Linked DNA regions of Saccharomyces cerevisiae S288C. The gene in region 2 interacts genetically with the main gene of each other region. Each region holds a gene or a part of one and is shown on either strand. Other genes may lie near its edges.

The links.
Region 1: of VHS2 (region 2) and DMA2, extra expression of one rescues a mutant of the other (dosage rescue), as found in Saccharomyces cerevisiae (one study listed by BioGRID).
Region 3: of VHS2 (region 2) and PLP2, extra expression of one rescues a mutant of the other (dosage rescue), as found in Saccharomyces cerevisiae (one study listed by BioGRID).
Region 4: of VHS2 (region 2) and PCL2, extra expression of one rescues a mutant of the other (dosage rescue), as found in Saccharomyces cerevisiae (one study listed by BioGRID).

Annotation. Positions count from the first base shown.
Region 1 is NC_001146.8:405,979-414,326, reverse strand, and holds DMA2 (ubiquitin-conjugating protein DMA2), read right to left. Parts: upstream 5,987-8,348; coding exon 4,418-5,986; downstream 1-4,417. Other genes in the region: DEAD-box ATP-dependent RNA helicase DBP2, read right to left, coding at 1-688; DNA-directed RNA polymerase core subunit RPC19, read right to left, coding at 1,128-1,556; YNL115C (uncharacterized protein), read left to right, coding at 2,274-4,208; malate synthase MLS1, read right to left, coding at 6,305-7,969. UniProt on the Saccharomyces cerevisiae protein: E3 ubiquitin-protein ligase which functions in cell cycle retarding in conjunction with the UBC4 and UBC13/MMS2 complex, 2 E2 ubiquitin conjugating enzymes. Involved in nutritional control of the cell cycle.
Region 2 is NC_001141.2:90,757-98,792, forward strand, and holds VHS2 (Vhs2p), read right to left. Parts: upstream 5,620-8,036; coding exon 4,309-5,619; downstream 1-4,308. Other genes in the region: TMA108 (Tma108p), read right to left, coding at 1-2,032; OM45 (Om45p), read left to right, coding at 2,863-4,044; YIL134C-A (uncharacterized protein), read right to left, coding at 5,766-5,969; flavin adenine dinucleotide transporter FLX1, read left to right, coding at 6,639-7,574; 60S ribosomal protein uL13 RPL16A, read right to left, coding at 7,771-8,036. UniProt on the Saccharomyces cerevisiae protein: Can suppress the synthetic lethality of the hal3 sit4 double mutation when overexpressed, suggesting that it is involved in the G1-S transition.
Region 3 is NC_001147.6:844,414-851,855, forward strand, and holds PLP2 (Plp2p), read right to left. Parts: upstream 2,717-7,442; coding exon 1,856-2,716; downstream 1-1,855. Other genes in the region: RFM1 (Rfm1p), read right to left, coding at 1-217; FSH3 (putative serine hydrolase), read right to left, coding at 579-1,379; YOR283W (phosphoglycerate mutase), read left to right, coding at 3,040-3,732; HUA2 (Hua2p), read left to right, coding at 4,065-4,796; thiosulfate sulfurtransferase RDL1, read left to right, coding at 5,222-5,641; thiosulfate sulfurtransferase RDL2, read left to right, coding at 5,867-6,316; rRNA-processing protein RRP36, read right to left, coding at 6,524-7,426. UniProt on the Saccharomyces cerevisiae protein: Essential for cell growth. Inhibits early G-protein signaling events following pheromone stimulation. Inhibits the folding activity of the chaperonin-containing T-complex (CCT) CCT2 which leads to inhibition of cytoskeletal actin folding.
Region 4 is NC_001136.10:230,383-238,126, reverse strand, and holds PCL2 (cyclin PCL2), read right to left. Parts: upstream 3,201-7,744; coding exon 2,274-3,200; downstream 1-2,273. Other genes in the region: AAA family ATPase CDC48, read left to right, coding at 1-1,970; VCX1 (Vcx1p), read right to left, coding at 4,240-5,475; YDL129W (uncharacterized protein), read right to left, coding at 6,228-7,103; ribosomal protein P1 RPP1B, read right to left, coding at 7,600-7,744. UniProt on the Saccharomyces cerevisiae protein: G1/S-specific cyclin partner of the cyclin-dependent kinase (CDK) PHO85. Essential for the control of the cell cycle at the G1/S (start) transition. Together with cyclin PCL1, positively controls degradation of sphingoid long chain base kinase LCB4.

The DNA.
Region 1 (8,348 bases), on a different chromosome or scaffold from region 2:
TTTGTTGACTTTTTGGAACACCACCGTAGACACAGGTATTTCTGATTCTGGAACTATGACCAAACTTGGAACATTCTGTTTGAATTTGAACAGCCAATTCTCTAGTTGGAGCCAAAACCAAAACAATTGGTCCATCGCCTGGAGCCAATAATGGTTGAGCGTTGATATGAACAATACCTGGTAAACAATAAGACAAAGTCTTACCGGAACCAGTGGCAGCAATACCAACCATGTCCCTACCAGATAAAGCCATTGGCCAACCCTGACATTGAATGCCAGTTGGTTTGTCAAATCCTTCAGCCTTCACTTCATTCAAAACGTAGTCTGGGAAACCAGCTTCATCGAAAGTGGTGATTGGCTTTGGAATATCGTGTCCGGAAATAGTCATTTCATTTTCCTTTCTGAACTGAGCAATCTCACTGTCCGATCTGTCGCGAACACTTTCGTGTTCAACATAGAAATTCTTTTCGAAAGTTGGCAATTTGGGTAATTCTTCATCCCAGTTTGGTTTGATCAATTCCTGGGGTTGGTTGTAATTGGAACGACCACCGAAACCACCACGGTAGTTACCGCCTTGTGGTCTGTCATTGTAAGAGTTTCTATCAGAGTTTCTTCCACCGCGGAAGTCGCCACCTCTAGACTTGTAGTTAGTCTTGTTATATTGCTGATCTCTACCACCGTAAGTCATATTTGCTCTAAATTTGCCTTAATAGTGCTTAATTCTGTTACAGGTTGTTGACAAGAAAATAATTTGAATGAGATACAGAAAAGTATAAGTTATTTGAGCGTAGGACAGTCTTTTTATAAGACAAATAAACTGAAGGAAAAATTTTCTGCGATGAGCATCGGCGTAAAAAAAAAAAAAAAAAAAAAAAAAAGAAATAAAAAAAGAAATAAATTTTTCAATCATTCAATACGGAATACGCCTTTAAAAAGGAATTTCGAATTCTCAACATTATTAGCACCTTGTACGAAGGTGTATTTTTATCTGGTTATATTATACATAGATTTTAAATAGCACGACTATAAACGGGATACACAAATCAAGCTGTATCTATACTAGCGTGGTGTGCATAATTATTAGAAATTTCAGAGTGACAGAGGGTCTTTGAGTCGATCCGTAACATCTACATGCTCTTGATTTTTTCAGTAAACTTAGATTCTACAACGTCACATAAATCCATCAAGTCCTTTAGCCCTTTTTGAAGAGCATCCACCGCGGTCGTTTCACCGTAGGTTTGAATTCTGATATTTAATAGGTTTTCAGAAGGATGAGGTATCGAGTAACCACAAAATTCTACGTCTGGATTTTTCATTATAACGTAACGAAGGGCATTTCCAAGCGTGTGATCCTCCTCTACAATTTGAAAAGAGGCACTAGTTCCATCTTCAGATGTTGCCTGTGTGAGAAGCTTAATTTTTTCCCTGTCTGGTTCCTCTTCCTGTTCTTCATCGCCAGTCATATCAACATCCTGTTCTTCTTCTTCTTGGATGTGCTTTGGTTCTTGTGGTGTTACCTCTGTAGCGGTCTTTTTTTGTTCGATGTCTTCAGTCATTTGCCTGGTACTTTATGTGAAGTTCAATTTTTCCGACTTTGGATTGATGGCCTTTCCCCAATTCGTTACTTTATACCTCAGCATTAGTATGGTTTTCTTTTGAAATTTTTTTTTTTTCCAGCTCATCGCAGGTGAATATTTCTATCACTTGTTACGTTTACCATTACCCGGATTGAAGTAAATATGATTCACCCCAATAAAGCTGTACAGAAGAGATAAGATGTAGCTTTATTAGAACAAAGTTTATCACGTTGTTGGTACTTAGAATAATCTATGATATTGTTGCGTCTTTTTGAATAAGCTTTCTTGCGTGCCGTTTTTTTCGGTTTTTTTTTATATTTCTGCCCAAAAAACGTAGTTCAAAGAAAAGGAACTATCCCAAAATAGAAGCAAGTTATGTTTAAGGAATTAAAAAATGTACCTATAAAGCACGTTTTTCTGATATGTATATGCCTATGTAATGTAGAAGTTGTCGAATCAGCAATCGTATTGGTCAACCTTGATGGCATGTTCTCAGCACGTTTTGAAGTGGCTATGCATATATAGTGTTCTTTAATCTATTCCTTGCAAGGCTATTCGGACCCCTAATTTTAACCATCGTGCAGTTTAAAGGGATGAGAGAAAAACTAAAAGTTAGATGCCTTGCTATATTCTATAAGGAGGAAAGGAAAGGAAAGCCATTGAAGAAAGAACTGTAGGCATCAGAGCGAACAGATCATGAAGGCTAATGGTTTAGATAATGATCCGGCAAGGACGGGAATGGAAAGAACAGATATAGATAGTGAACACCCAGAAGCGCAACCGTTGCTGAACAACAACCACCGGACCCTTGGTGCAGGATCCGCGAATGGCCCAGCAGTTAATGAAGGTCGTGACATTGAATCCGATGGGTTCATCAAAGATAGTCTCTTTCAAATTCGCAAAGGTTATAGAATCTTTATTCATAACTCCAAATGGATATTAAATATCCTAATTCTAATTAACACCATCTGGCTAGTCACCACTTTGATTTCAGATTTCTTTTTCAATATCAATATTCTTTTCGGATTCAGTAACAGGTACGCAAGTTTTAACGACTTGACTTTAATATTCATCTCGATCATAGCTAATTCTTTCAATCTCTGGTTTAATAAGCTGGGACTGTACTCAGCTTTAGATTACAGCTTAAATGTAACTCTCTGTGTTTTGACGTTGTTCAATCTAGCATTGACCTATCTAATTAAATACACTAGGCAAAGAATCGGCTTTGTGGGCACGTTTACATATTTGTGGACTTCGTTTTCATTTTTTATTGGGGCAATATTAGATTGGTATCTCTTGTTTTACAACAACTCAATAAATGAGCCATTGGAGGAACGCAGAATTGATGATGCTAATATTAGTACTTTCAACGAAAACCATACAAATAGTACCGAAAACAGGGACAGAAGCCAATATGGCTCTGGGTCGCCAACCCCCACCCACCGCTCGCAGCTGGTCCAAAACAAACATACATTGACAGAATGGGTATCCATTGGGTTCAGGAATACTATTAAGTTTTTAATTTTAATATTCTTCGCTTTATTCACCCTGAATACACTTTTAACGACATTGGATACCTACAGATTGACTCACAAATTACCAATAACCGTTCAGTCGCCCTCGTACGAGGCGTTCCATTACGTAGATGCCGCTAAAACCTATCAGTTGCATATAACTTGTTATGGTGACGTATTTGATCAAGAAAACAACACAGATTTGTCTGAAAATAAGAAGCAACCTATCATCTTGTTTGAACACGGAGGTTATGATACTGGTTACCTTTCTGCCACCTGGATTGAGGAACTATATCATTTAGACAAAATTCAAAGATATTGTCTATACGATAGACCAGGGTACGGGTTGAGCGATTCTCCTCCCGCCCCAATCTCTATTGCGATGGTTGCGGAATCTTTAAGGTACGCATTGATCAAAGATGCAAAAATTAAAGGTCCCTTCACTACAGTAGGATACGACCTTGGCGGGCTATTTACAAGAGTATTTACCGCCAAGAATGTCGATATTGTGGATAGCATGATGCTTGTTGAATCATGGCATGAAGAACTATTGTTAAAAAACTACATTCAAAGATTACTACCTCCAGGCCGTGGTGATGGCGACGATGGCGACGATGGCAATGGTAATGATGGGGATGGCCGCAACCATGATAAGACTTGGTTACCTTCGGAGATAGAAAGGCATAACGAATTTAGATTATGGTGGAAAGGCATTTGGTCGAGTTTAGGATGGAGATTACAGACTTCATGGTTACTAGCTCATCATGGGTCTAAAGAACGTATATATGGGCGTGATATGAAATATCAAGGACGTTTCTTGCGTTCCAAGTTTTTGGAAAGCGTGACGAGTTCAATTCTAAGTTACAGAGATGTGACAAACAATGCAGAATCTTTGCAAAATGTGAAGACAAGCATCGTTAGCTCTAAGGAAATGGTGAAGAAGTCGGCATTATGGGGCGATTGGCAAAGAGATTTGACCAAAATTTCTCACAAGACTCAAGAATGGAAAATAGTTGAAGGTGGGCATGAAATATATAAGTATGGTCTGGGCAAACAACAAACTCAAGAAGTCCTATTAAGATTAATAGGTGAGCTTGGCAAACTAACCGAGGATTAACCGAGTTCTTTACTTTTTTTTTAGTTTTATATGTGAAAGCAAAATTGACTGCCAACGATGGAGGTATTGTATTCCTGAAAACAATAAGTCAAATATGTAAACGGCGCAAATATATAAATACTAAGAGAATAATTAAAATAATATTAAGGTACGAGATGTGGAGTTCGGTGGTTTTTCTTTATTTTTCAAACTGTGTATTTTCTTTGACCTTAAGGATGGCTATCAACATCCTTTGAAGTTTCCATTAAGACGCTAAGTTGATCCACCAGTTGATCACCTTCACTTTCCACATCACTTTCATCTTCCTCGTCACTACTTTCAAAGGAGGCCTCCAAATCACAACTTGATCTACAGTTGGGGCAAACAAATTGCGGATATGAGAGCATGACCAATCTTCTTACACAACGGAAATGCCAGCTATGTGCGCATGGTGATATGAAAATTGCTTGACACGGTTTGATCTTACATAGGCAAATCGAACAATCTTCTTCTTCAATACCTGTAGTTAATTTTTGTAAATTCTGCAAACGCTGTAAAGCTTCTTTGTTGAACGAATTTGCCTTTAGTTTCCATGATCTATTTAGCTCAATCCTCATCCTTACACAACGATAGATTTCTTCCGTGCCACCTCTAAAATCCATTCCTAACTGTAAAATATCACCATCACGAAGAGGGGTATCTTTCGATAAAGAGGAAGCGGGTGAGAGCCTTTGGTGATTTAAGAAAGTTCCACTAGATGATTTCACATCCTTTATATACCAGTTACCTTGAGAGTCAACTTTAAAACAACCATGTGTCCTTGAAACAACTTTGGATTTAAATACAACTGGATGATATTGTTCAGGTATTTTAGAAATTGCATCGCGAACACGCTCAGTATAGCGGCCAATAACCAATTGGGATCCAGGGCCAGCCTTTCTTATAATCGGTTCAAAGAATAAACCTTGATTTGTCGTGGACGAACTATCAATAAATGGGGTTAGTCTTATACTAAAAAGACCATGCTTATCTTTCCTTTGCTTCAAAGTGACCTCATCTACATTGAACATATTGTTTGACTCCTCTGCACTTGTTGCAGGTAAATCCAAATGTAAAATTTCGGTCCCATTTGGCTGGTTTGCAGCATATATCAAGTGACGTAAATTCTTATACATTTCCTGACTGTTGTTAACAATAGTAGATCCATCTGCACCACCGACTATATTTCTCGTTGTAGCCGCTGGCGCCATGGAAATTATCGAGGTTGTGGTATTGTTAGTACCGTTAGGCTGCCGCTGATTCAAAGACTCTTGAACGTTACCAACATTGTTGCCTTCGAAATTATGCGCAGATGATTGCTGGTGGTCTGTGGTTGTAGGGGCAGTGAGAGATATGGAGATGGGGAGTTGATAGTTGCGATGAACGTGGAACTGGGCCGACAGAGGCATTTGTATAGGATGATGCAGACGTGGTTCCTGCTGTTGCGGAGCGGTATCGATACTTTCCATGGCCACACTCATATGTGAGTTAGATGGGGTTGTGCCGAATAGACGCTGATCAGGAGCCGCAGAAGAAGAAGCTGTCTGGCTATTTTGCCTAATTCCGAAGGTATTCAAAAACGAACTGATACCCGACGCCGGACGAGCCCGCTCATTGGATGGAGTACCACTGGCTCTGTTCCTTGGGTTTATGCCACTACTGCTAGTGGTGTTGGCATTTGATGCGGATGAAGAGTTGGACGTCATCGATGAAGTTGGTGCAGTGGGAGCAGGGGTATTAGCAGGGATAGGCGTGTACATTTCCACGGTATATCCTTTGCTGAAAGCTTCAAACGTATACAATGCGTTGCTATACTTTCTCGACTTCTTTTCAAATCAAAATATATGCCCACGTTTGGAGTCATCAAGTATTGTGTTTGAAATTCCACAACAATGGTTGATGCCTTCGCCGTCGACCGTGATACATTAATCTGGCCAAAACAAAAAAAGGAATCATGATAAGATGATTCATTGCTAACTACGAAACGAAGCAATATAAAGATAAGTTTTTGGATTCCGATACATAATCATATAGGCATGAATATATTTTTATATATGTGTACACTGGGGCAAGGGAGATCACAATTTGCTCAAATCAGTGGGCGTCGCCTTAGTGGACACAATTTCGTCGTACAACAATGTAGTCAAAAATTCACTGAATTTCTCGCCTCTGATTTCTGGCAAGAAATACTTAGCGGCCAGCGCGAATTTGTTCTTGTCACCCAATGGACTTGCCTTAGACAGTCTTTCCACTTGTTCTTTTAGAATCTTTTCGGTTAATTCTGGGGTGACCTTTTCTCCCGTGTCCTTTAGAGTAACACCGTGTTTCACCCATTGATACAATTGACAACGAGACACTTCAGCAGTGGCGGCGTCTTCCATCAAGTTGTTGATGGGCACACATCCAGAGCCTCTGAGCCAAGCTTCCATGTACTGCAACCCGATATCCAAGTTTTGTACAATTCCCTCGGTAGTAATCTCACCATTTGGAATTTTGGTTTCCAGCAGATTAGCAGCCGTTACAACGTTTTCAGGAATGAAATAGATTTGGTTTGGTGTTCCCATATTAATGAAAACTTCATTACAAATAGGGGCCAGTGCTGGGTGTGCAACCCATGACCCATCATGTCCATTTGTCAGCTCTCTAATCTTATCATTACGGACTTTAGTCATGGCCTTTTCATTGGCTGCCGGGTCGTCTTTGATAGGGATTTGCGCAGCCATACCACCCATGGCATGAACACCCCTCCGATGACAGGTATTGATTAATCTTTTCACGTATGCATCCATGAATGGGGAAGTCATAGTCACTTGATTTCTATTGGGCAAAATGTGATTAGGATCATTTCTTAATCTCTTGATTGTAGAGAAAATATAGTCCCAACGTCCGCAATTCAACCCACTAGAATGTTGTCTTAATTGATAGATGATCTCTTCCATTTGGAAAGCAGCAGGCAAAGTTTCAATCAACACAGTAGCTCTGATTGTACCCCTTGGGATCCCAATGTAATCTTGAGCTACACAGAAGACGTCGTTCCATAGTTTAGCTTCCAAGTGGTGCTCCATCTTTGGCAAATAGAAGTAAGGACCTTTGCCCAATTTGATTAATTCTTTGGCATTATGGTAGAAATATAAACCAAAATCAAAGATGGAAGCGCTGATTGGTTCATCATCTACATAAAGGTGCTTTTCCACCATGTGCCAACCACGGGGTCTCACGATAATAGTGGGCAAGTTGGCCACATTTCCATTCAATTTGTACGATTTTCTTGGTGTGTCAAAATCGATTTGATTTCTGATCGCGTCGTAGAGATTAACTTGACCGTAAACCATGTTGTTCCAAGTAGGTGAAGCTGAATCTTCAAAATCAGTCATATAGGTGTTCACAGGAGCATTCAAAGCGTTGATCAGCATATTTCTCAATGGAGGCCCTGTGATTTCCGTTGACCTATTAATTAACCCCGGTGCCAAAATTGGACCTTGCCAAGTGGGATCATTTCTAATATTTGCAGTTTCAGGCAGGAAATCCAGATGATAGGAGCCCGAGTCTAATTTCTTCTGAACAACTTGTCTGTTTTCCAATAATTGTTTTCTCTTGTTGTTGAAAGTTCTGTGTAAAAGAACAATGAACTCTAGAGCATCCTTGGTAAGAATATCTCCCACTGTAGTACTAGATGGTTTAAAGAAAGGCTCCTTATCAACATCCACCAGTAATTTGACGTTATCCAAACTGACCTTAACCATTTTCTTAATTCTTTTATGTGCTTTTACTACTTTGTTTAGTTCAAAACAATAGTCGTTATTCTTAGGTACTATAGCATAAGACAAGAAAAGAAAAATAAGGGACAAATAACATTAGCAGAAGTACGGTATATTTTACTGTTACTTATATACTTTCAAGAAGATGAGTTAAATCGGTAGCCAGTGTAGAAAAATAATAATAAGGGTCATCGATCCTTCGCATTTTATTATCCAATTAAAGATACGAATCACGGCAAACTATATTCAAAGCTCATAGATAATCGTCGTAAGGCTGACACTGCAGAAGAAAAGTCATAATTTGAATACTAGCCGGTATGAAACTGTGATTGATTAACCTGGGGTTACCTAAAGAGAACATAAG
Region 2 (8,036 bases):
TGACAATTTTTTTCTTTAAGAAAGATTGTAATTTAGAGCTCGTTAAACTGGCACGATCGATCGTTTGCAGAACTTCCAACCCCTTGGAAAGAGGATCCCAATATTTTGATGCAATCTTTGTGGAAGGAGAAGCGATATGGTTTAGTATCTTAAAGAGACCGTGCAAATGAATAGAATTCTGGAAACCCTCATCTCCAATAAACTGCGACAAGTCTAAGAAAATCTTCCGAAGGTCAATCTCGGATAACGTCTCCTCAGTTATTTTATCATTAATCAATGCATAGCACTCTTCGGACTCATATGAAACGCGGTAATAACCTTGGGCTAAATGGTTAATTACTAAGATAGGATAATCGAACTTTAAGGTCCTATCCGTCAATAGTACATTTTTAGTATCCATTTTACCATCTGGCAGAACCCCGAATAAGGGTACCTGATATGGGACATCTTCTAACTGATCCTTTTCTTCAGTAGATAATTGATTGATAAATCTGTGTTGAGTCAATTTTGTTTGCGTTTTCCCGTCTTTCTCTTCTACTTCGACCTTAACGACAGGTAAGCCTGGCGTTCTTGTCCAAGATGAAACAAAGTTTGTAATATTTTGAGACTTCAAAAATTTTCCGATATGATTCCATATATCCATTGGTTTGACGCTTCTCGCATGAAATGTTTTAGTATCTTCAAATACACTTTCCAGGCCCTTTTGTAGATGAGATTCGCCTGTAGCCAATTGCAGGGACCTCAGCATGATAATACCCTTTGTGTATGCCTCAGGATCAAAAATATCGGAGGTTTGAGAATCTATGCCAGTGTTCCGTTGCGCAATCTGAAATATGCTTCTTCCATTAACGTCAGCTGCATCTCTGCACATGGTCGGCTCCACTTGCTGTAGTAAATAAGGTTCCGAGGTCCAATAATGGGATAGGTCACCATTCTGTTCTAGTATGTGGCAAGCTAACCAAGTAGCGAAAGACTCATTAAACCAAAGAGATTCCCACGAGTCAAAAGATATGTAGTTGCCCATCCATTGATGAACGAGTTCGTGGACAATGAGTTGCTGTGCTTGCTCTCTGACGGTTTCATTGGCCAAGGCATTTGGTGGTATGAGCAGGTGGTTTAGTTGGATGGTGATCATACCAAAGTTCTCCATTGCCATGTCACTTAAATATGGTAGTAGGACGAAATCTAACTTTGGCAGAGGGTATGGACATTTAAAATAGGATTCCAACAAAGGTAGATATTTCTGGACTGTATCTAAAGTGAAAGCTGCATTAGCAATATCCCAAGGTGCATAAATTGAAACGGGAATAGTCCTATCACCTTCCAACTTGATTTCCGTTTTCAAAAATTCTAAATCACCAATAGAAAAACCAAATACGGAAGTAGTCATCAAAGGTGTCTTGGCAAATTTCACCAAATGTTTTTGAGAACTATCCAAAGCTTCGACCATCTCTACAGGAGTATTGGAAACGGCTTTATATTGTGCATCCGTTGCAATGTTCAATTGAAAAGTGGACTTGTTTGAAGGCTCGTCAATACATGGGAAAATATTGCTAGCGGAAAACGGTTGGCAGTGAGTAGCAACGACGTGATTATTGGCAGTACCGGTTTTACGATCCATAAAATTGGTTTTGAAAATACCAAAAGTCTTATCATGATGTGTTTTTATGTCACGAATTTTACCCACGTATTGCACGGACAAAATCAGAGGGCAATCGTTGGACAATTGAATAGGAGATTCAGAGTTGAAAATCGACAAATGCTTTCCAGTGTCCTGAGAAATTTTTAGATCAAACTTAGTAGACCCTATGGTGGCATGTGCAGACAACACAATCAAATCCTTGGAATGTAACTTGAACTGGGTAAAACTGTCTTCGATAGAAGCTAAGGTGGTGGAGTTCGGATTGAATTTCAAATGGATTATGGCGGATCCTTTGAAATTGGGCGACGACTGCTTAGGGTCAATTTCTAGACGCAACTCATAGTGACTAGGCACCACCGGATTCTCTAAAGATAACAAATTATCAGACATGATGGTTAGTGATGATCAACCTGGCGTTATATATCCTTTACACGTCTTCGGACCTTTTTTTTGTATAGCACATCCAGGAATGGTTTGACTGCAAAACTCGTTTTTCACTGAAAAATTACCGGCGAATTGTATAATAGAAAGGATCGATTTATACTAAAGAAAAGAAGGATTAATATACAAGACTACAACCAAGGGTGGTACCTCACTTGAAGGGGGTTCTCAAAGTACTCGAGAATTTTGATATTCTGTCCTGTGTGTGCTGAGCCGTTCCAGCCAGTCTTGTTCCAGAAATATGTTGACAAAATTGAAGTTCGTAAATATATATACATTTCATATAATAATTGACAAGCTGATACATACGGTGTGCGGACGGTTACATTAATGCAGGAATCTATAAATGCTATGGCCAGCTGGCGTCCTTCTGTTATGCAGATTTCTTAAAATAATTGGCATATTGGTGGTAAACATGAAATGTGAAGACGTTGCCCCTCGTCATAGGTAAGCGGTGGTCATCACAACCATCAGCGGTGACAATAACACAGCAAACAGTCTTGTTTGACTCTCCTGCCTGCATGGTGTTTGAAAGTGAATCGTCAGGATTTGCAACAACCAATAGTGTACTGCTATTCGCAGGAGCACAAGCTCGCCGGTGGCCCGTGTGGGTTAAGGGAGGAGTTTGTTGACCCTTATTTTGTCGAGTTCCTTGAAGAGGAGTATATATAAGGGGAAACGGTTCTTGCTAAAGTCCTGCTTCTTTGCCCTTTCTTGAAATAAAGGGTATTTTTGATTGGCCAGTAACGTTAATCATTTAATAAAACAAGCAGATAAGGATGTCATCAAGAATAATTGTCGGCAGTGCAGCATTGGCAGCTGCCATCACAGCTAGCATCATGGTCAGAGAACAGAAGGCCAAGGGTCAGAGAAGAGAGGGCAACGTCTCCGCTTACTACAACGGCCAGGAGTACGGCAGTTCAGCACCCCCACAGTTGGGAAAGCTACATAACATAAAGCAAGGCATAAAGGAAGATGCCTTGTCGTTAAAAGACGCGCTTCTGGGCGTATCTCAAAAGGCTAGGGAAGAGGCTCCAAAGGTAACTAAGCGTGTGATATCACCGGAAGAGGATGCTCAGACACGCAAGCAGCTAGGCCAAAAAGCCAAGGATTCTTCCTCGCAAAGCATCTTCAATTGGGGGTTTAGTGAGGCTGAAAGAAGGAAAGCCATAGCCATCGGGGAATTTGATACTGCTAAGAAGCGTTTCGAAGAGGCAGTGGATCGTAATGAGAAGGAGCTCTTGTCCACGGTGATGAGAGAGAAGAAGGCCGCTCTGGACAGAGCATCCATTGAGTACGAAAGGTACGGGAGAGCCAGAGACTTTAATGAGCTTTCGGACAAGCTAGACCAACAGGAAAGGAACAGTAATCCTTTGAAACGCCTGTTGAAGAATAACACGGGTGACGCTAATACTGAAGAAGCCGCTGCAAGAAGTGTCCAAGGCTGGGGTGATACGGCACAGGAGTTTGGTAGAGAAGAGTTGGAGGAAGCCAAGAGAAATGCTTCTTCAGAGCCAAGCGAGGCGCAAAAACGTCTTGACGAGCTGAAGAAGATCAAGGAAAAGGGCTGGTTTGGTTACAACAAAGGGGAGCAAAGCGAGCAACAGATTGCTGAACGGGTAGCCAGAGGTTTAGAAGGATGGGGTGAAACAGCCGCTCAACTTTCCAAGGACGAAATGGACGATTTAAGATGGAATTATGAGAATTCAAAGAAACAACTGGATAAGAACGTGTCCGATGCCATGGACTCGTTATCTAAGGCGAAGGAGGACTTGAAACAGTACGGCAGCCACTGGTGGTCTGGATGGACTTCCAAGGTCGACAATGACAAGCAGGCTTTAAAAGATGAGGCCCAAAAGAAGTACGATGAAGCGTTGAAAAAGTACGATGAAGCCAAGAACAAATTCAAAGAATGGAATGATAAGGGTGATGGTAAATTCTGGAGCTCGAAAAAGGACTAGTTAGATAGCTAATTGTAAAGGGTTGGTTCCCGCATAACATATATACATATTCACATGTTTCTCATTTTTTATATTTGAAATCACATATGGTCTTTGCTGATTATGGATTGGAAAACGGAGTAAATTAGTGGCATTATTGGGGTATACGTGCATACATAAAATACCGTTATATATCTATATATATGGAAAAAAGAGACTTAAATGAATTTTTAGAGTAGGAGAAGAAGGTTGAAGAAATGAACAATCGCGGCCCTTCAGTTTTCTTTATTTGGTTGTGTCTGGATTCATAGAGGTTATTGTAGAGTTTGAATTTGATTTTGAACTTGGATTCGAGTTTGTGAACGCAGGGCTATTTTTGATGTTATTATTAATAGTATTCTTGTGTTTATTAGTATTATTGTGATTATCGTTAACCATGTTGGCAATTGATGGTGGTTGTGCCAGTTGTGACTGCAATTTTTGCTTTAGATTGAGTTTATCTCTTTCAATCATAGTGTTGTCCTCCTCTTCGGAAGAAAACCCTTCACTGCCACTGGATTCCATATGGAATTTGGATTTAGGTTTCCCGATCATAATGTTGGCAGCACTGCCGGGCCTATTGCTGTTTCTTCTTGAACGGGCGCTCCCTGAAGGTGACCTTTGTTGTTTAAGTAAGTACTGTTGGTTCGATGGCGATCTTGATAGTGCGGCCCCCGTAGTGCTTCCAGCGCTGGTTCCCCCATTGGCATTGTTGATCGTTGTGTTAGAGTAACGTCTAGATATGATGAAAGGGTTGGTGAAGTTCATATGCTGAGGTGGTGATGCCGAAGCTGATGGGGGGGAAGGCAAATGAGAAGGAGAATTCAAAAGGGACGACGAGAACGAGTAGTGACCTTGCATTGGGGGTCTTCTCAAGGGGTTCGCAGTTGATGATGTTGATGTCGCATTACTAACGTTGTTATTGTTGTCATCGGACAACATGTCAGCGTAGGAATAAAACCTTAGTAGTCTTGAACCATGGTCGTTGGGAGATCTTGGATGCGCAGGCGACGTTTCGTTATCAAAAGATTGTGACGAAAGACTTCTTGTCCTACCTAGGGCTCTATCCAGGCCGATGGTAGATGGCCTTCTCGAATAAACCATATCAACGTCATCAAGGCCAGTCGTGTCGTCAGTTACAATAGAACAGCCAGCGTCTAATGCAGGAGGGACGAAATTCTCTAAGGTACGACGGTGATCCAGTGGAGTCTGCACAACAAAATCCGGATTGTATGTCTGGTACGATGCTATTGACTCATTAGTCCTAGAAGGTTGCAAATGTAGATTCACAGCAGACGATCTCTGGCTTAAGTTATGGAAGTTCCTATTACTAGAATTATTATGATTGAACAAACTGGTCCTGCTGCTCTGCCTAGAGAGAGAGTTTGCAGCGTTGTTTGACACCGTTTTATAAAGGTATGATGGGTCCTCTACATTTCTTTCAAAAATCATAGAACTCTCGCTCATGGAGGGGGAAGGTGGCATATAATTATTGTCGTTCTCCCTCTGTGCCGCCACGTGGGAGTCGTGGTCTTGGTTGTGGTTGCTGGTATCCATCTTTGCCGTTTACGTTCGCTTTGCTTGAAGGTAGTCTATCACAAAAGCTTTCAGGATCAACCTTTTGCGCCTCAAGAAATTGCATATCACCAAAGGGTGAGTTTAGTCTGATACTGTTTGTTAATCACCTCACGACTGTTGCAACATTAATATGGCGCACACACCGTGTTACGTGATGAAAATAAAGATAATAAAGCGATAGCATAAATAAAATACCATTTAATACGCTTTGTAAAACAAGCACTAACAAGGCGTTGCTTAATAACAAAATAGTCAGCATTCAACAACGTGAGAAGGATAGCTACGACATCTACATCTGCAGTGTTGTTAAATTCGCTGCCAACAACCATTTATATGTCACCATACACGGTCATGCTCTCTTGCACCATTTTTCTCACCTATATAAAGTGAAAAAGTTTTCGATGTCTCTTCTTCCTTCCTAGTAAACTACACTCCATGTGTTTCTGAAAGGGACCTTCAGGAGGTTACGATCAAGTATCTTGTGACATGCAAGAACTTGATGCTTCGATGGGGGAAGTCTTATTTTCAATGTGTTGAAAAGAGTTAATTATGGAACGGTTGGTCATAGCTTTGTACAGCTCAATGTCGTCATGTTTGTAAGGATACAGGCGCGACTTGATCTGCGACTTACTGCTATCAAACGATAAATTATGTTTTTCTTCGTTTCCTTTTTTTTTCTTTTCAGTTTCCTTCCGTTTATTTTTTTGTTGGATTTATCATGATGAGCATTTATTTTACTGCGTTATCGTATTGACGGGGGCTGTTTAAGTACAGTCTGTTTTATAATCTATATTCATTTATATTTTATATTTCTTACCGAGGAAATTGACTCTTAACAGATTTGCTGAAAGGTTCATCTTACAAAAAAATTGGAAAACTTAAACTGAAAAAAAAAAAGTGAAGGAGTACGTGAAGAGCAGTAGCTTTCATAGGAATATGTACAATATCTTGTCTTTGTACTTTGCAAAACCAGCACGCAGCAGGAAGCTCTTGATAATATGGTCGATCACCAGTGGACGCCACTGCAGAAGGAGGTTATCTCAGGTCTGTCCGCGGGATCCGTCACCACATTGGTAGTGCATCCATTAGATTTACTGAAGGTTCGTTTGCAATTATCCGCTACAAGCGCACAAAAGGCCCATTACGGCCCATTTATGGTAATCAAAGAGATTATACGTTCGTCGGCGAATAGTGGACGTAGTGTTACGAACGAACTGTATCGCGGATTAAGCATAAATTTGTTTGGAAATGCCATTGCATGGGGAGTTTATTTCGGTTTATATGGTGTCACGAAAGAATTGATATACAAGTCAGTGGCAAAGCCAGGGGAAACACAGCTTAAAGGTGTTGGGAACGACCACAAAATGAATTCGCTTATTTATTTGTCTGCCGGTGCTTCCAGTGGGTTGATGACAGCTATCCTAACAAACCCTATCTGGGTTATAAAGACCAGGATAATGTCTACAAGTAAAGGCGCCCAAGGAGCGTACACTTCTATGTACAACGGTGTCCAACAACTGTTACGAACTGATGGCTTCCAGGGCCTATGGAAGGGCCTTGTACCCGCACTGTTTGGTGTTTCGCAAGGTGCCTTATATTTTGCAGTTTACGATACCTTAAAGCAAAGAAAATTGCGACGGAAGAGGGAAAATGGGCTTGACATCCATTTAACAAATCTTGAAACCATTGAAATCACATCGTTGGGAAAAATGGTCTCCGTCACTTTGGTTTACCCTTTTCAATTATTGAAATCAAACTTACAAAGTTTCAGGGCCAATGAGCAAAAATTTAGGCTCTTTCCTTTGATAAAATTAATCATTGCTAATGATGGTTTTGTTGGACTTTATAAGGGCCTATCTGCAAACTTAGTACGGGCCATTCCATCCACTTGCATTACCTTTTGTGTATACGAGAACCTTAAGCATAGGCTTTAGTAAATAAAGGCTATATGATAGATTTAATTTCTTGTAAATATCAAACGATAAAAATATAAAAAGTACGAAAGAAAAAGGGGAGGTAATCTAAACTGTAACGGGGAGGAATGGTTTCTTTGGTTTTTATTATTTCTAAAAAATATTTGTGATTATATTACAAAATGTAAAGTATTAAAGAAAAACTATTTTTAATTTCTTAGTAACCCAAAGCGGCTAATTGTTTAGCAACATCAGATTCAGCAGCAGTAGCATTAGCAGAGGCAACTTTCTTGGTGAAAGCTCTCTTCTTGGCATAGTATTCAGCGGATGAAACCTTTCTCTTTGCTTCCAATTTGGCAACAACATCTTCGTATTTCCAACCAACGGAAGTAGACAACTTACCCAAGGTGGTGTACTTTCTACCTGGCTTCAATCTCAAAACTCTCAATGCTTGTGGGACAACAACTCTCTTCTTCTTATCGT
Region 3 (7,442 bases), on a different chromosome or scaffold from region 2:
TTCCATATTCTTTATTTCTTAAACTGTCAATATCCACATGGCCACTTGCAGATATTCCTTTTTTGAACGTTTTTATCAGGAAATAATCCTGATACGATTCAAACTCCAAGGGTTTAATGGATTTATTAAAGTCTTTTATTTCATTTATTAACCTCCTCTTATCATTGATTAAACTTTGCAAATCACTATTTTTTATGATTTCCGTATTTGTACTCATTCGCACTTTCTTATAACACCTTCCTGTTGTTCTAATTAAATTCTTTTAATTAAAATTAATAGTTATTTTATATGCAATGTCTTATGATCACTTCTAGCTGTCAGTGTTCCTAGGATAGTGTTCAACAGCGTTTAATATTAATATATTGAGATACTTCCGCCAGATAAAAGAAATCCTTACGTTAAATATATATCATTCGTGTGCCGCGAAAATTCTTTCTTTAGCAACAGATATAAATCAGGTATAGAAAATCAAACGTCAAAGAAGGCGGCAGAAAAGTCACACTATTCCTTTTTCTCGTCGATATTTTCAATAGTTTTATAAAAATTGTATGTAGCTCATATAAATATCAATTATCGAATTACAATTTACCCAAGGAATCGATCATATCTAACAAATCATCTTCCAATTGAGGTTTGTCAAATTGTTTCCGATCTACTTCAGGTTGGGCATTATGCTCTTGACCCTCTTTGCTAGTAATTCCTTGGATCCAATTGCAAACTTGGGATACGAATGGTTTCGAGTTTGGGACAAAATGGGCTCCAGGATGAACCAACAATGTCCTTTTGTTATCGGGCCATGACTCGTACAATGCCATGATTCTAGATTCTGCTACAACTTCATCTAACTCCCCCCTTACATGTAGAGAGGGCACCTGGATAATCCTATGATATTCTTTCTGGTAGGATTGATCTTCTAATTTGAATCCACTAAATGAAATAAAAAATTTTAAAGCGGGCTGTTGTTCATCAGTAAGATTTAATATTCTGTTAAAGTCAGTGACTAAGTAGCCCCCAAGACCTGCACCTTGGCTGAATCCAATGACACCATCAAATGGTCCATTTTCTAGCACGTAGTTACGTAAATAGTTAAACACCTTTTGATCTATTTGAAAGGAATTGAAAGATTCGGGATTTCTAAAGAACCACCCGTATACTTCATCACTAGTCGCTGAGGTGTTGAATTCCTTCGCAGCATCTCTACCCTTTTCTGACTCTGATTGGAATAACGCTTTTTTATCAATTGAATGTGGGGCGCAAGGATAGTATAAATCGTAACCTAACTTCTTCAAATTCTTTCGTAATCCTCCAGTCTTCGCAGAAAATATCTTATCGGATTGGACAAAACCATGTAGCATTAGAACTTTCTTCTTTTCACTCATAATAATAATTCTGGGGTTTGTGGTAGAATTCAGTTTGAAAATGCACCGAAGTAGAACAGATTACTTTCTGTATTACTGCATCCATAGTGTTCTTTATACGCACAACTAGAAAAAGTAAATTTCTATCCTCTGACAACAAAGCGAAAAAGTAGTAAAACTTGATACCAGACCATGCTCCATATGACGATTTAAAAGGTTTATTCTGTCAAGATGTGCCTGCTCGAACTTAATAAGGGGTTTTATTGTATCTGTATCCTAAGTATGCTTGACGGTAATTAAAGAGCTTTAATTGGTTGCCATGACAACGGCTCTTACTAAAATCCATGCTGCAGCGATGTTCAATCATACATACCGTAATCCTCGCGTAAACATTCAGAGAAGTACATGACAAAGTTTGCTGTTCTTTATATCTGTATATATTAAATAATGGGGATAGTGACACCACTTAGCCTGTAAATAAGGAATATTCGCACTATTTAGTCAAAAAATCCATCATCATCATCATTAATGTTGCCATCATCATTTCCACCTATGCCGACATTAAATTTTCCTCTAATACCTGACCTGATCGATTTTTTTTCACCGTAATGCAATTTTCTCTCTTCCCTGGATTCTTCATCGTCTCGGTTCATTATCAGTCTGTTGTCTCCTTCTGCAACAGCGCCAACTTTTACCATAAAATCTTCAAAGTCTTCCATCTTGGAATTATTACCACCCAGTTCTAGTAGCGTTATCATGTTTTTGATTACCTCACCCCGGTAATATACAATTAATGTCGGGCAATTGGATTCGGGATAGTTTTCAATTGCTCTATTGGCAGGTATTTCTACAAATTTTATTTCTCTGAATTTGCATGCAGCAGATTGGAAAAGATGAGACAGAATTCTGCTTTGTAGTTTACTTTGAAGCGAGAGATGAACGAATACGTAGACACCACCGTCATCCTCTTCACCATTGTCATTGGTTTGTGCACCTTCATATTTCTTTCCCTGACTGGCCAAAGTAACCTCTTTGTTGTATTCAGGTTTGTTAATGTGGAAAACTTCTCCAAATTTGGAACGTTCCTGTAATTTGCGGATTTCATTTAATCTTTTGATCTTGTAAGCTTCCAAGAAATCTTCATCTTCATCGTCTTCTAGTTCTTCCAAATCCGACAAGTCTTTATCTTCTAGTCTATTTTCATGCTGCTTGGCAATTGCTTCTTCTAATGCTTCTTCTAACTTTGCAGTGGGCGAAGGTGCACGTTCTGGTATTACACCCTTCGCTCTTAAAATATCGTTCCATTCACTGTCTTCAGATTCGTCCACCTGGACCTGAAACATTGGTTCATTCTGCATTATGTCTGCTGAATATGCCTTTCTTCTCAGTGATGTTTACTCGAAGGCGTTATCTTGTACTGCAGATTTCTTCAGGTCGATCATATAACCTTTTCTTTTTTTCCTCTAGCGGGATTTCCTCTTTTTTCAGTAATTTTTTTTCCAGCGATATTAATACAATGGGAAAATCAGGTCGTCACAATATTACTTAATTCTTTTTTGAATTGTAGAACATAAAGTATTGCTTTATTCATTCTGGTTCGAATTAGTCTCATACTGTAAGATCAAAGCGGCAACGAAGCTCGAAGCTATACAAGCACCCAAAAATATATTTATACCCAAGAATGACTAAGGAAGTACCATATTATTGCGATAATGACGATAACAACATCATCAGATTATTCATTATTAGGCATGGACAAACAGAACACAATGTAAAAAAAATTTTGCAAGGTCACAAAGATACCTCGATCAATCCTACGGGAGAAGAACAAGCCACTAAATTGGGGCATTACTTGCGTTCAAGAGGTATTCATTTTGATAAGGTTGTCAGTAGTGATTTAAAAAGGTGTAGGCAAACTACGGCTTTAGTTTTGAAACATTCAAAACAAGAAAATGTGCCTACTTCCTATACTTCGGGGTTAAGGGAGCGTTATATGGGTGTTATTGAAGGTATGCAGATTACTGAGGCTGAAAAGTATGCTGATAAACATGGTGAAGGCTCCTTTAGAAATTTTGGGGAAAAAAGTGACGATTTTGTTGCTAGGTTAACTGGATGTGTCGAAGAAGAAGTTGCTGAAGCATCTAATGAAGGTGTCAAGAATCTAGCCCTAGTTAGTCATGGAGGTGCTATCAGAATGATTTTACAATGGTTAAAGTATGAAAATCATCAAGCTCATAAGATCATTGTTTTCAACACCTCTGTCACTATAGTTGATTACGTCAAGGACTCCAAGCAGTTTATTGTGAGACGTGTCGGAAACACCCAACATCTTGGTGATGGCGAATTTGTCGTCAGTGACTTAAGATTACGTTAGACACTATATGGTTATTCACTGTTGGGTTTTTCTCATTTTGTATTAGAAATGCGGTTTAGGTAGTAATAGAAATTTCGCATGCGTGTATTTTATTTTAAAACATATAGTTCGTAAGGGTTTATCTAAATGCAGTAGATGTTCATAAATTATAGGGGTTTTATGTTTTTATATTATTGATATAGTTTTTCACATGAGATGAGAACGACGCGTTTATTTTAAAGGAAAGAAAACTGTGTCGTAATATGTAACAAGACTACATTGATACTCCATAGCAGAGAAATGGATATGTTCTGTCGGTGGTAAATTCAGGTGAATTGTATATCAGTGAAACTATGCAACAAACAAAATTTGGCAAGATGTATTTGGACCACGATTCGGTAGTTGAGTACTCAGAAGATGAAATTGTCGAAGCCGATCGTATTACATTGGGCTATAAAAAGAGATTGTCAATGATTGAAAATCAAATGCGACATCTTTTGGAGGATTTTAGTTTGGACGTTCAGCAGATTGAACCCATTCTTGCCGACTTGCAGAAGTACTACGACGCGTTTCTACAACTTTTACAGAAAAGGAACAAATCATTACAATGTAAGAGGTCCACTCACCAGCCGGTCCCATCCCCAATGAATAGCCAGACATCAACAAATGCAAAGGTTAATTTGAGCGGAAAGCTTATGAAGTTTCAGCTAAATAGTGTACAAAAGTTCGACGAAGAAAATATACTAAGGATTCTGCAAAATAAAATAGAATTCGAACATTATTTCCAAATTGATAAAGGTAAGAAGCAAAAGGTGCTATTACTTGCCGTATATCAATGCCTCAATGGGCCAACACGTTTGCATAAAGTGCTTAATATTGAGGGAATTATACATAATAATAGTATCAGAACTATACTGGGCAAACAAGTGTCCAGTTCTAAGTGGACAGTGTTTCTGTACGATGTAAAACTAGTTTTATTGGCGCATAGACAAGATGTTCCGAACTTAGAAACTAGCAAGATGATCGTCAGATATGGTGATTTATTTCCCTGTGCATTGTACTTCAAAGATCATACAGCATACTAAGCGCTTTCCAGGGACACCTTCTGTCGCAAAATATCAGAATTTTTCTTGATTAAACGCAGCATATTGAGTATATGAAATTAACGGGACACTGTGTGAAAAATTTGTAGTTGTACTTTTTTGTTATCCCCTTTGGTAGACATATGGACGAATTACTACTAAGATTGGCTTCCATAAGGCCCAAATCCAGATATCACCTACGGTATGTCCTTTTCCTACTTGCAATGACAAATAATTTGTTATTTATCTTGGAACCTATATAAGTTACATCTGATTGCTTTTGTATTTTTTTTGGAGAATATTATTACCCGCGGGGAAGGAAGTAAGGGGAGAATTTTTGAGGTGTATAAAAGAGAGTGGAGGCTTAATCAATCAAAGAATTCTTTCTCGTTTATTTTCAGGGTTTGTGACTAAGAAACGATATTAAAATGTGGAAGGCCGTGATGAATGCTTGGAATGGAACCGAGAGTCAAAGTAAGAATGTTTCAAATATTCAATCTTACAGTTTTGAAGACATGAAAAGAATCGTTGGAAAGCATGATCCTAATGTGGTTTTGGTAGATGTTAGAGAACCATCTGAGTACTCGATTGTTCATATTCCTGCTTCCATCAATGTGCCATATAGATCGCACCCTGACGCATTTGCCTTAGATCCTTTAGAATTTGAGAAACAGATTGGCATCCCAAAACCTGACAGTGCCAAGGAGCTAATATTTTATTGTGCTTCTGGCAAACGCGGGGGAGAAGCTCAAAAAGTCGCCTCCTCACATGGATATTCAAACACCTCACTATATCCTGGCTCTATGAATGATTGGGTTTCTCATGGGGGTGATAAACTTGACTTATAGCCTTGTATACTCTAGGTATGTACCCTGTGTATTTTCGTAAGCTAGTAACGTATTATGCCATTTATGTCACACCGTTCATAATATTTGCCTATTGCATTGGCTGTGATAGCGGCGGCGCAAAGAAATTAGGAAGTATAAAAAAAAAAATACAAAACTTAATCTGAATGGAATAAGATAGCGATAACTCTCAACAAATGGAAGCGAGACAGAAGAAAAAGACCAACGATGTTCAAGCATAGTACAGGTATTCTCTCGAGGACAGTTTCTGCAAGATCGCCTACATTGGTCCTGAGAACATTTACAACGAAGGCTCCAAAGATCTATACTTTTGACCAGGTCAGGAACCTAGTCGAACACCCCAATGATAAAAAACTATTGGTAGATGTAAGGGAACCCAAGGAAGTAAAGGATTACAAGATGCCAACTACAATAAATATTCCGGTGAATAGTGCCCCTGGCGCTCTTGGATTGCCCGAAAAGGAGTTTCACAAAGTTTTCCAATTTGCTAAACCACCTCACGATAAAGAATTGATTTTTCTTTGTGCGAAAGGAGTAAGAGCCAAAACTGCCGAAGAGTTGGCTCGATCTTATGGGTACGAAAACACTGGTATCTATCCTGGTTCTATTACTGAGTGGTTAGCTAAAGGTGGTGCTGACGTTAAGCCCAAAAAATAAGCCAAAAAGAAACAAGTATAATCGATATATCCTGTATATAGACAACCTTTTGTGTATTTCAAATTTTTTGTTGTCACCTCTCCGATTCATTCGATTTTCTCCTTGTGGTTCGCGGATAACCTCTTACTTCCATTAGTTTATGTGTGCGTTTATTTTTTTATCTTTCTCTATATATTACTTTAATGTGCATTCTTTTGCTTAAATACTCTACCTACGATTATGAAATTCAAATTGTTTAAACTCTTTACCCAATCTCTTCTTCCTTTTCCTTTCCATGACCTTTTCACGTTGCTTGGCCTTCATGTGATCAAATTTCCACTTTTGCACCACTTTACGTTTCTCAGACTTTTTCAAATGGTATCTCGTATTATTGTTTTTATTCATATCATTTTCGTATTCCTTGAGAATTTCACGCTCGAGATCTTTGTTTTTCATTGATTGCAATCTCGATTTCATACTTTTCAGTCTTTGTTCCATTTCTTCACGTTCTCCCTGGTCTATTTTTGATAGAAATTTTCTTTCTTGTAACAGCTTCTGCAGTTCATCAATTTCTTTTTCTCTATATTCGTCCAAGAACTGGTAACGTTTTCTTATGATAGAACTATCAAGGGCTTTACCGGTGGACTTATCAAATCTGATGTCCTGATAGAGGTTAGACCTTTTATTCCTCGGTATTTCCAGCCCAGGGATATTTCGGACTCGTGGTACCCTTTTCTTGGATGATTGTTCTACTGGAGCGTGTTTGCTCTTCTTTTTTGGTACTTTCTGACCATGATGAGTTTCATCCTCACTATCTTCTTCAAAGAATCCAGCATCCTCGTCTGATTGGTCCTCACTGTCCTCATCTTCATCAAAACTTTCTTCTCTGTATGTAGTTGTGATCGGTTTTTTGTGAACGGGTTTCGTATCTTTGAAATCTTCTTCATCTATTACCGTTTCAGCCTTCTTCAAAGAACCAAAAGACAAGGTTTTCAACTCATCGTCACTTGATTCTTGTTCGTCAATTTCTCGCTTACTTTTGTTCGCCATTATGCTCTCCAATAAGTTTCCGTCATCTTCTTCTACGTCGGAGTTCAAGTCTGGCTTCAGATTTTTAAAGTAATACGACATTTTTAACCTTCTAGTG
Region 4 (7,744 bases), on a different chromosome or scaffold from region 2:
CTGAAGAATATGCCGTCGTTGCTCAGGATACTATTATTCACTGGGAAGGTGAGCCAATCAACAGGGAAGATGAAGAAAATAATATGAATGAGGTGGGTTACGATGATATTGGTGGTTGTCGTAAGCAAATGGCTCAAATTAGGGAAATGGTTGAACTACCATTGAGACATCCTCAGTTGTTCAAGGCTATCGGTATCAAGCCACCAAGAGGTGTTTTGATGTATGGTCCCCCTGGTACTGGTAAAACCTTGATGGCAAGAGCTGTTGCTAATGAGACCGGTGCCTTTTTTTTCTTAATTAATGGTCCAGAAGTCATGTCAAAAATGGCTGGTGAATCAGAGTCTAACTTAAGAAAGGCCTTTGAAGAAGCCGAAAAGAACGCTCCAGCCATCATTTTTATCGATGAAATCGATTCTATAGCTCCAAAGAGAGACAAGACTAATGGTGAAGTTGAGAGAAGAGTTGTCTCTCAATTGTTAACTTTAATGGATGGTATGAAGGCAAGATCTAATGTTGTTGTCATTGCTGCTACCAATAGACCAAATTCGATTGATCCCGCTTTAAGAAGATTTGGTAGATTCGATCGTGAAGTCGACATTGGTATCCCAGATGCTACAGGTAGACTTGAAGTTCTACGTATTCACACCAAGAACATGAAGTTGGCTGATGATGTTGATTTGGAAGCATTGGCTGCTGAAACACACGGTTACGTGGGTGCTGATATTGCCTCTTTGTGTTCTGAAGCTGCCATGCAACAGATCCGTGAAAAAATGGACTTGATAGATTTAGATGAAGATGAAATTGATGCAGAGGTGCTCGATTCTTTAGGAGTCACCATGGACAACTTCAGATTCGCATTGGGCAATTCAAACCCATCTGCATTGCGTGAAACCGTTGTTGAAAGTGTCAATGTTACTTGGGATGACGTTGGTGGCCTAGATGAAATCAAGGAGGAATTGAAGGAAACTGTAGAATACCCAGTCTTACATCCAGACCAATACACAAAGTTTGGGTTATCACCATCAAAGGGTGTGTTGTTCTACGGTCCACCAGGTACAGGTAAAACTTTGTTAGCAAAAGCTGTAGCTACTGAGGTTTCTGCCAACTTTATCTCAGTCAAAGGTCCAGAATTATTGAGTATGTGGTATGGTGAATCGGAATCTAACATCCGTGATATTTTTGATAAGGCAAGAGCAGCTGCACCAACCGTCGTTTTTCTAGATGAATTAGACTCCATTGCCAAGGCAAGAGGTGGTTCCTTGGGTGATGCTGGTGGTGCTTCGGATAGAGTCGTCAACCAACTATTAACAGAAATGGATGGTATGAATGCTAAGAAAAATGTGTTCGTGATTGGTGCCACCAATAGGCCAGATCAAATTGATCCTGCTATTTTAAGACCTGGCAGATTGGATCAATTAATTTATGTTCCATTGCCAGATGAAAACGCTAGATTATCTATTCTAAATGCTCAATTAAGGAAAACACCACTAGAACCAGGGCTAGAGTTAACTGCGATTGCCAAGGCCACTCAAGGTTTCTCTGGTGCTGATTTACTCTATATTGTGCAGAGGGCTGCTAAATACGCTATCAAGGATTCTATCGAAGCTCACAGACAACACGAAGCTGAAAAGGAAGTGAAAGTAGAAGGTGAAGACGTGGAAATGACAGATGAGGGAGCAAAGGCTGAACAAGAACCAGAAGTAGATCCTGTTCCATATATTACAAAGGAGCATTTCGCAGAAGCTATGAAGACCGCTAAACGTTCTGTTTCAGATGCTGAATTGCGTCGTTATGAAGCATACTCACAGCAAATGAAAGCATCTAGAGGTCAATTCAGTAATTTCAACTTTAATGACGCTCCATTAGGTACTACGGCTACGGACAATGCTAACAGTAATAATAGTGCTCCAAGTGGAGCAGGTGCTGCATTTGGTTCTAATGCGGAGGAAGATGATGATTTGTATAGTTAGTTATATGCCAGGTATATTTTTATTTTAAATCGTAAATTCAAGTCATTTCTATAAAAAAAATCGTCAATTTTAACTCAATATTTTATGGCCCTTTTTATATTTATTTTCAAATTTGTCAAAAAAAGGAGAGCTAAATCATTAGAAAAAGAATGCATTATGGTATATTTATGTATATTAATATGTAAAATAAGAAAAAAGGGAGGCTGTAGGACCTCGGTCGTAAGAACATTTACCTGTGTTCTTCCGCCTTTTCCGAAAGTGCCATGAAGAAACGCAGGCCAGGCATAATTTCGACATTTAAAATCACGATTTGAAGTAATTTGACCAATTCGATTTCTTTACTTTTGTATCTTCTTTTATTATCTGTTTGTTTAACCCAGTTTTCAAGATCACAGGGCGCGCTTTACTAAAATTAAAAGGCTTAATTGTCGGTATTGGCCTATTTTCCTTGTTATCGTGTTTGGAGTCTATGTTGTATGTTCGCGGAGAAAACTTGTCGCTAATGTTATTGGATTCGTGTAGTTCGGGCAAAGTTCGTATTCTGTTACTATAATTGGATAAATTCGATCTTCTAGATTCCAACGTGGAGAGGGTCGAAGTGGAAGCTAAAGATGGGATAGACATATTGGACGATGAGCGCGAATGGGAAATGGATGTTTTGTTTACTATGTCTTTTTCTTGAGCAGAAAAATTTTTCAACGTGCGACAGTCTCTTTGCGATTTGTACAACTGCTCCTCTTTGATAGGCTTCAAGAATGGCGAGAGACATGTAATTAAATCATCTGTGGAAATGGTGACGTCCCAATCAAAATATTCTAATAGTTCCCTTTCAATAGTATTAACCTCCCTTAGGATGAGAAGGCCGTCCGTATATTCGGCCCAGTGTTTGTTAAGAGGGGAGGAATCATTTAACGTTTTTGCAGCTAATATTAGGCAACCTAAGAATATTCTATGCCTGGTGGTCTCTATACCATAAACGTTACTCGGTATTATTGATCTTAATTTGGCCAAATATACAGAGGTAGCCATCAGAGTCGGAGTTTGAACGTTAGAATGCTTGATCAGTCTGTTGATGAATTTAGTCAACGGTGGTGCTGGCAATGCAATATCTATCATACTATTCGTCTTCTTAATTTTGATAATGGAAGCTGTGGTCGATGCTAGATATTGCACCATTTCCTTAGATACAGCCTTCCTATTGAATTTCAGCAAGGCTTCGTAGTTTGACATCTTTTGTAGTAAAAAGTTGCTGCCGTATTGAAATTGCTCTTGTCGGATCAGGTTGTTTAGCACCGGGTCTTACTTTTATAAAGGAGAATTATAAAGTGAAAGAAAGGAGAACTTATAAGACTAAAGAAAAAAACACTTAAGAAGCACTTAAACTTGCATTAGATGTGTAAATCGATCAACCTGTAACATGTTTGAGGAAGGTCTCACACGTCTCCGAAGTTACAGCTACCACTTAGCGTGTCTGCGGGAACAATAGATCTCTTCCCAATTTGCACTAAATAGGTAACTAGCCAGGCCTATAAAAATCTTCGAGCGGAGAATTGACCGTAGTATCTGCCAAAAAAATCCACCTGCACCAGCATTTTTCGTGTTACGCGAAGTCTACTTTTCGCGTCATCAAAAGACGCTATAAAAATATAGCTGGGCTAATTTTATTCTATAGCTGGCCATTTTTTTATGCGATATCTGCTGGTTTTTTACAGCTGGAATGCCGTGACAGATGTAACAAGAATGTGTTTCAGCTGGCATTCTCACTCAGAAATGTAAGGCTAAAATCCGCTAAAATAGGGCTTCGCGTCTCATGATCTATTCACATTTGTTTCTAATAAACTATACTACAAAACGAAATTCTGTTGTGCAATGATGTAGGAAGCTCCATGAATTTGAGCAAAATTCCTAAATATTCTCGTTGTAATGAATAACGTTACCCTGAACAGTGCAGCAAAGCAGCTGATGTGCTGCAAGAAGAACACGAGCTGTAGTTGAGAAGCTTCGAAATATTAAACCTTTTATCAGAATGGAAATGGTGCAGAATTTGAGTTTCGAAGAGTGTACAAAATATTTTGTTGGTTTTGAAAACTTTTTTTCAGATAAAATTCGATATAAAAATTAGTTGCGTAAACATAATATGTATAATATAACGATCATAATAATGACTTGCTAGTCATAATCATCTTTGTATTGGTCCATCGATAGAATTACGAAGAAGATAAAATATAAAAAAAAAGAGAATGGTGAATTTCTGCGCTACTGTTCTTACTCATAAACTATTTCCAATAGAGTCAAGGGTTTTTTCGTCTGGATAATAGAAAAATGCCATTGCAATCAAAATATACATAGCTAGAGACATGACACCCTCCAACCAGTTTGACTCACCATCGAGAATTAAGTAATTGGATAAGAAAACAGCAATAAAAAGAGTAGCGGTTTCAAAAGTGGAGAAATTTAGCGTCATTGGAACATCGATCATCCAGCCCACAAGAACCATGAATGGTGTAACAAATAAGGCAACTTGTAAAGAGGAACCGATGGCAACACCTAGCGCCAGATCCATCTTATCCTTCATGGCCACCAAGACTGAAGTGACATGCTCTGCGGCATTACCCACAATAGGAATGACAATCAAACCTATAAATGTTTTAGATAGCCCGGTAGATTCAACAACGTTGTCTATCGTACCGACTAGAAAATCCGCACAAAAAGAGATGATCACAGTTGTACCTAGAAGTATCACCAATGATGACTTGACACTCAAAGAGTGATGTGGATTCCTGGAAATGGTGCTCATAACTTCATCGGTCTCTTCTTCTTGTTGCTCAAACAAGGCGTGATGGCTCCCTAGCTGGAAATATAAGAACAAAACGTAAACGATGAGAATAACAATAGAGGTGCCTCTGGATAACTCCAATATTTTTCCATCGATGAAGTGGTCTTCCTTGCCATGAGGTAGGGTGGCTCTAAAGGCAGCGGGAATCAGTAGGGATGCACACGCAATGGCAAGTAATGAGGACATTGTTTGAGCGGCGGTTTGGTTGAATGTCTGTTGGACTCTATTGTATCCACCGAATATGAAGCATAATCCAAGCACTAACAGCAAATTAGAAAGAAGACTACCTAGCATCGAGGCCTGCACAATTCTCACTTGACCTTTTTTCAGGGCAATGATAGAAACAATTAGTTCCACAGCGTTACCAAAAGTAGCATTTAGCAGTCCCCCAATGGTGTTACCAGCCTTATCAGCCAACTCTTCCGTGGCATTAGCCAAGATAGCTGCCAACGGTATAATTGCCAAGAAATTAAAAAGAAATGTCAGTGTATGAGATAGTTGGAAGTGTCCCCAAATCAGACCTAAAGGAACAAATACCAATAGGAAATTCAGGGGTGACGCTTTCAAAATATACTGTAAATCATACACAGCTGCTCTCCATGCAGTGTGCTTTGGATTGCGGGCGGGATGACTGTTCGCAACAGTTAATAGTGGGGTAGTTGCATCCATTGTATCTATGTTGTTTTATTTGCTATCAGCAGCCGATGAATGATATGCGTCGAAGTCAACTATATATTTAGGACTGCTTTTTAAGTTTAGGAAAGAGGAAACTTCTTTTACTCTCTGAGGAGATAAAATAATGCTGGGCGATAGTAATTTCCATATTCTCGTGAGGGAAATTTTTATTTTTCGGGAATTTTGATCAAGCCGTCCAGTCCAGTTTACGAAAAAGGAACTACGTCAATTAGTTTACAAAACATTCCCGATTACGTATGTCATATTCATCGAAGTTCGTAAGTGAGGATGACAAGGGATTAACGTCGTAAGGAAAACAATCTAATTGAAAAAAAAAAACTATTAGATAAGTATATATAACATTAAATTAGAACTTAAATACTACAATATTGTTCTCTTGGCAAAAAACAAGAAGGAAAATAATTGTCCCTCTCCAAACTGATAGCTTCCATTGAGTTCAATAGGAGAAAAAAAAATCCAATTTTTTCACACTTTCGGAAAATTTCCCTTTTAAGTTGTACTAAAATTACAGACAGTTGGAGGCATTAGATTAAAGGTGTATGATAGAGGTTAAAAGTAAACATAAATTCGTAACTGAAGAATTGAAGGAGATATTTCTCTTTGGAGAATTTTAAAAGAGTAAACCAGAAATAAAGAGAATAGAATATTATTAGAGAATAAATGATGTGTTTGGTCCCATGAGAAAGAAAAATTATTGACGTTCAATAATATTTTTTTCTAGCATACTATTTTTTTCGTGATTTAGGTTCTTTTTTCTCCAAATGAAAAACTCTCACATATTCGTTTGTTGCTGGATTGTCACTCCTTCTTCTCATCCTTGGATGCGGTTTATTGTTCTCTACTAATTCCAATGTGTCAATTTTGGTATCTTCCTCAACTTTATCAGTACCCGTTGGGACTTTTTGGGGAGAAAGATTCAAAGACGGCCGGGAAGCAGGAAGAGGAAGTTTTGGAACTTTGGTTTTCCATGAGTTCGGCGATACACCTCCATATCCTCCTTCTAGCCTAGCGCCAGTGGATAATGGTCTTTGCGCTAGTCCTGGCAATGACAGTTTACGCTTTAAAGGTCGTTCAAGAAGTGGTCTCAACTCTGCGGAACTTGCACTTTCGTTGGTTTTTGGGGTCTTGTTTTTTAAAAATTCTACCTCTTTTTTCAACAAGTTTGTCTCAACTGCATACCTTCCCTCTGAGGTGGCCCTTAACTCCGATAGCTGGGCCTGTAACTTCCAGTGAGATGTGGATGCTAAAGACCTGTTAAGCACACTTAATATGAGATCTTTCTCACTAACTAACGTTTCATCATCCCCTTCCTTTATCCTCTGTATGAGATTGAGAATTGTGTTTTCTAGTTCTCTGGTGTTTTTCAAAGATGGCATGAAGTGACTAGTAAAATTGTAGTATTCATTGTCATCAACTTTCTTCGATGAATCTGTAGTAGCGGTATCAGAGTAAGCGGGACTAAATACACTTGTGTTCTCGCTCTTTGCTTCCCTCGTGCCGACCCTCTCATTGGATTCTATGCTCCGTTCACTCTTATTCTTGGCAGGTTCCTCAGGCGTGACAAGATAGGCCTCTGCGCTCCGTCTACTTCTTAGCTCCATAGCCAACAAAATGTTAAATTCCTGTATGCCGTAGCCTTGCCCGCGTTTCGTATCAAAAGGGATGAGAAACTAAAGTGCTCAAATTTTATACGTTTCTAGTGCCTTATAGGTGTATTGCTAAGCCTGTAAGGACCGACGTATGTCCAACTTAGGGAGCTTTACATGTGTCAAAGAACCTTTCATTCCCGATGAGTAAAAATTTTAAAAATGTGCGCGGGAGAAGCTTCGGTCGGCGTCGCCATCAAAGGGCGAGCAACCATGGGTTTATGTAATTTTTGGTTGCTATGGTGACGACAGGTCTGATATCCCGCAACCAGGGGCTATCCCGCAGTGCCATTTCTAGCAAAGAACGAGATGGTTAAATTCTCGTAGCCCTTTCGTATGGACATTACTTCCGATTTTTAAATACTGATTGATTAGAGGTTTATTTTATATGTAAATATATATACATAAAGGGTAAAAAAACGTTGCAGAAAAAATGACTTTCCTTGTATGTTTAGTCGAATAAACCGAAACCCATGTCGTCGTCAGATTCTTCAGCAGCTTCTTCTTCTTTTTCTTCTTCAGCAGCAGCGTCACCACCAGCAGCGGCAGCGCCAGAAGCAGCACCAGCACCAGCAACAGGGCCAGCGTTATGGAAA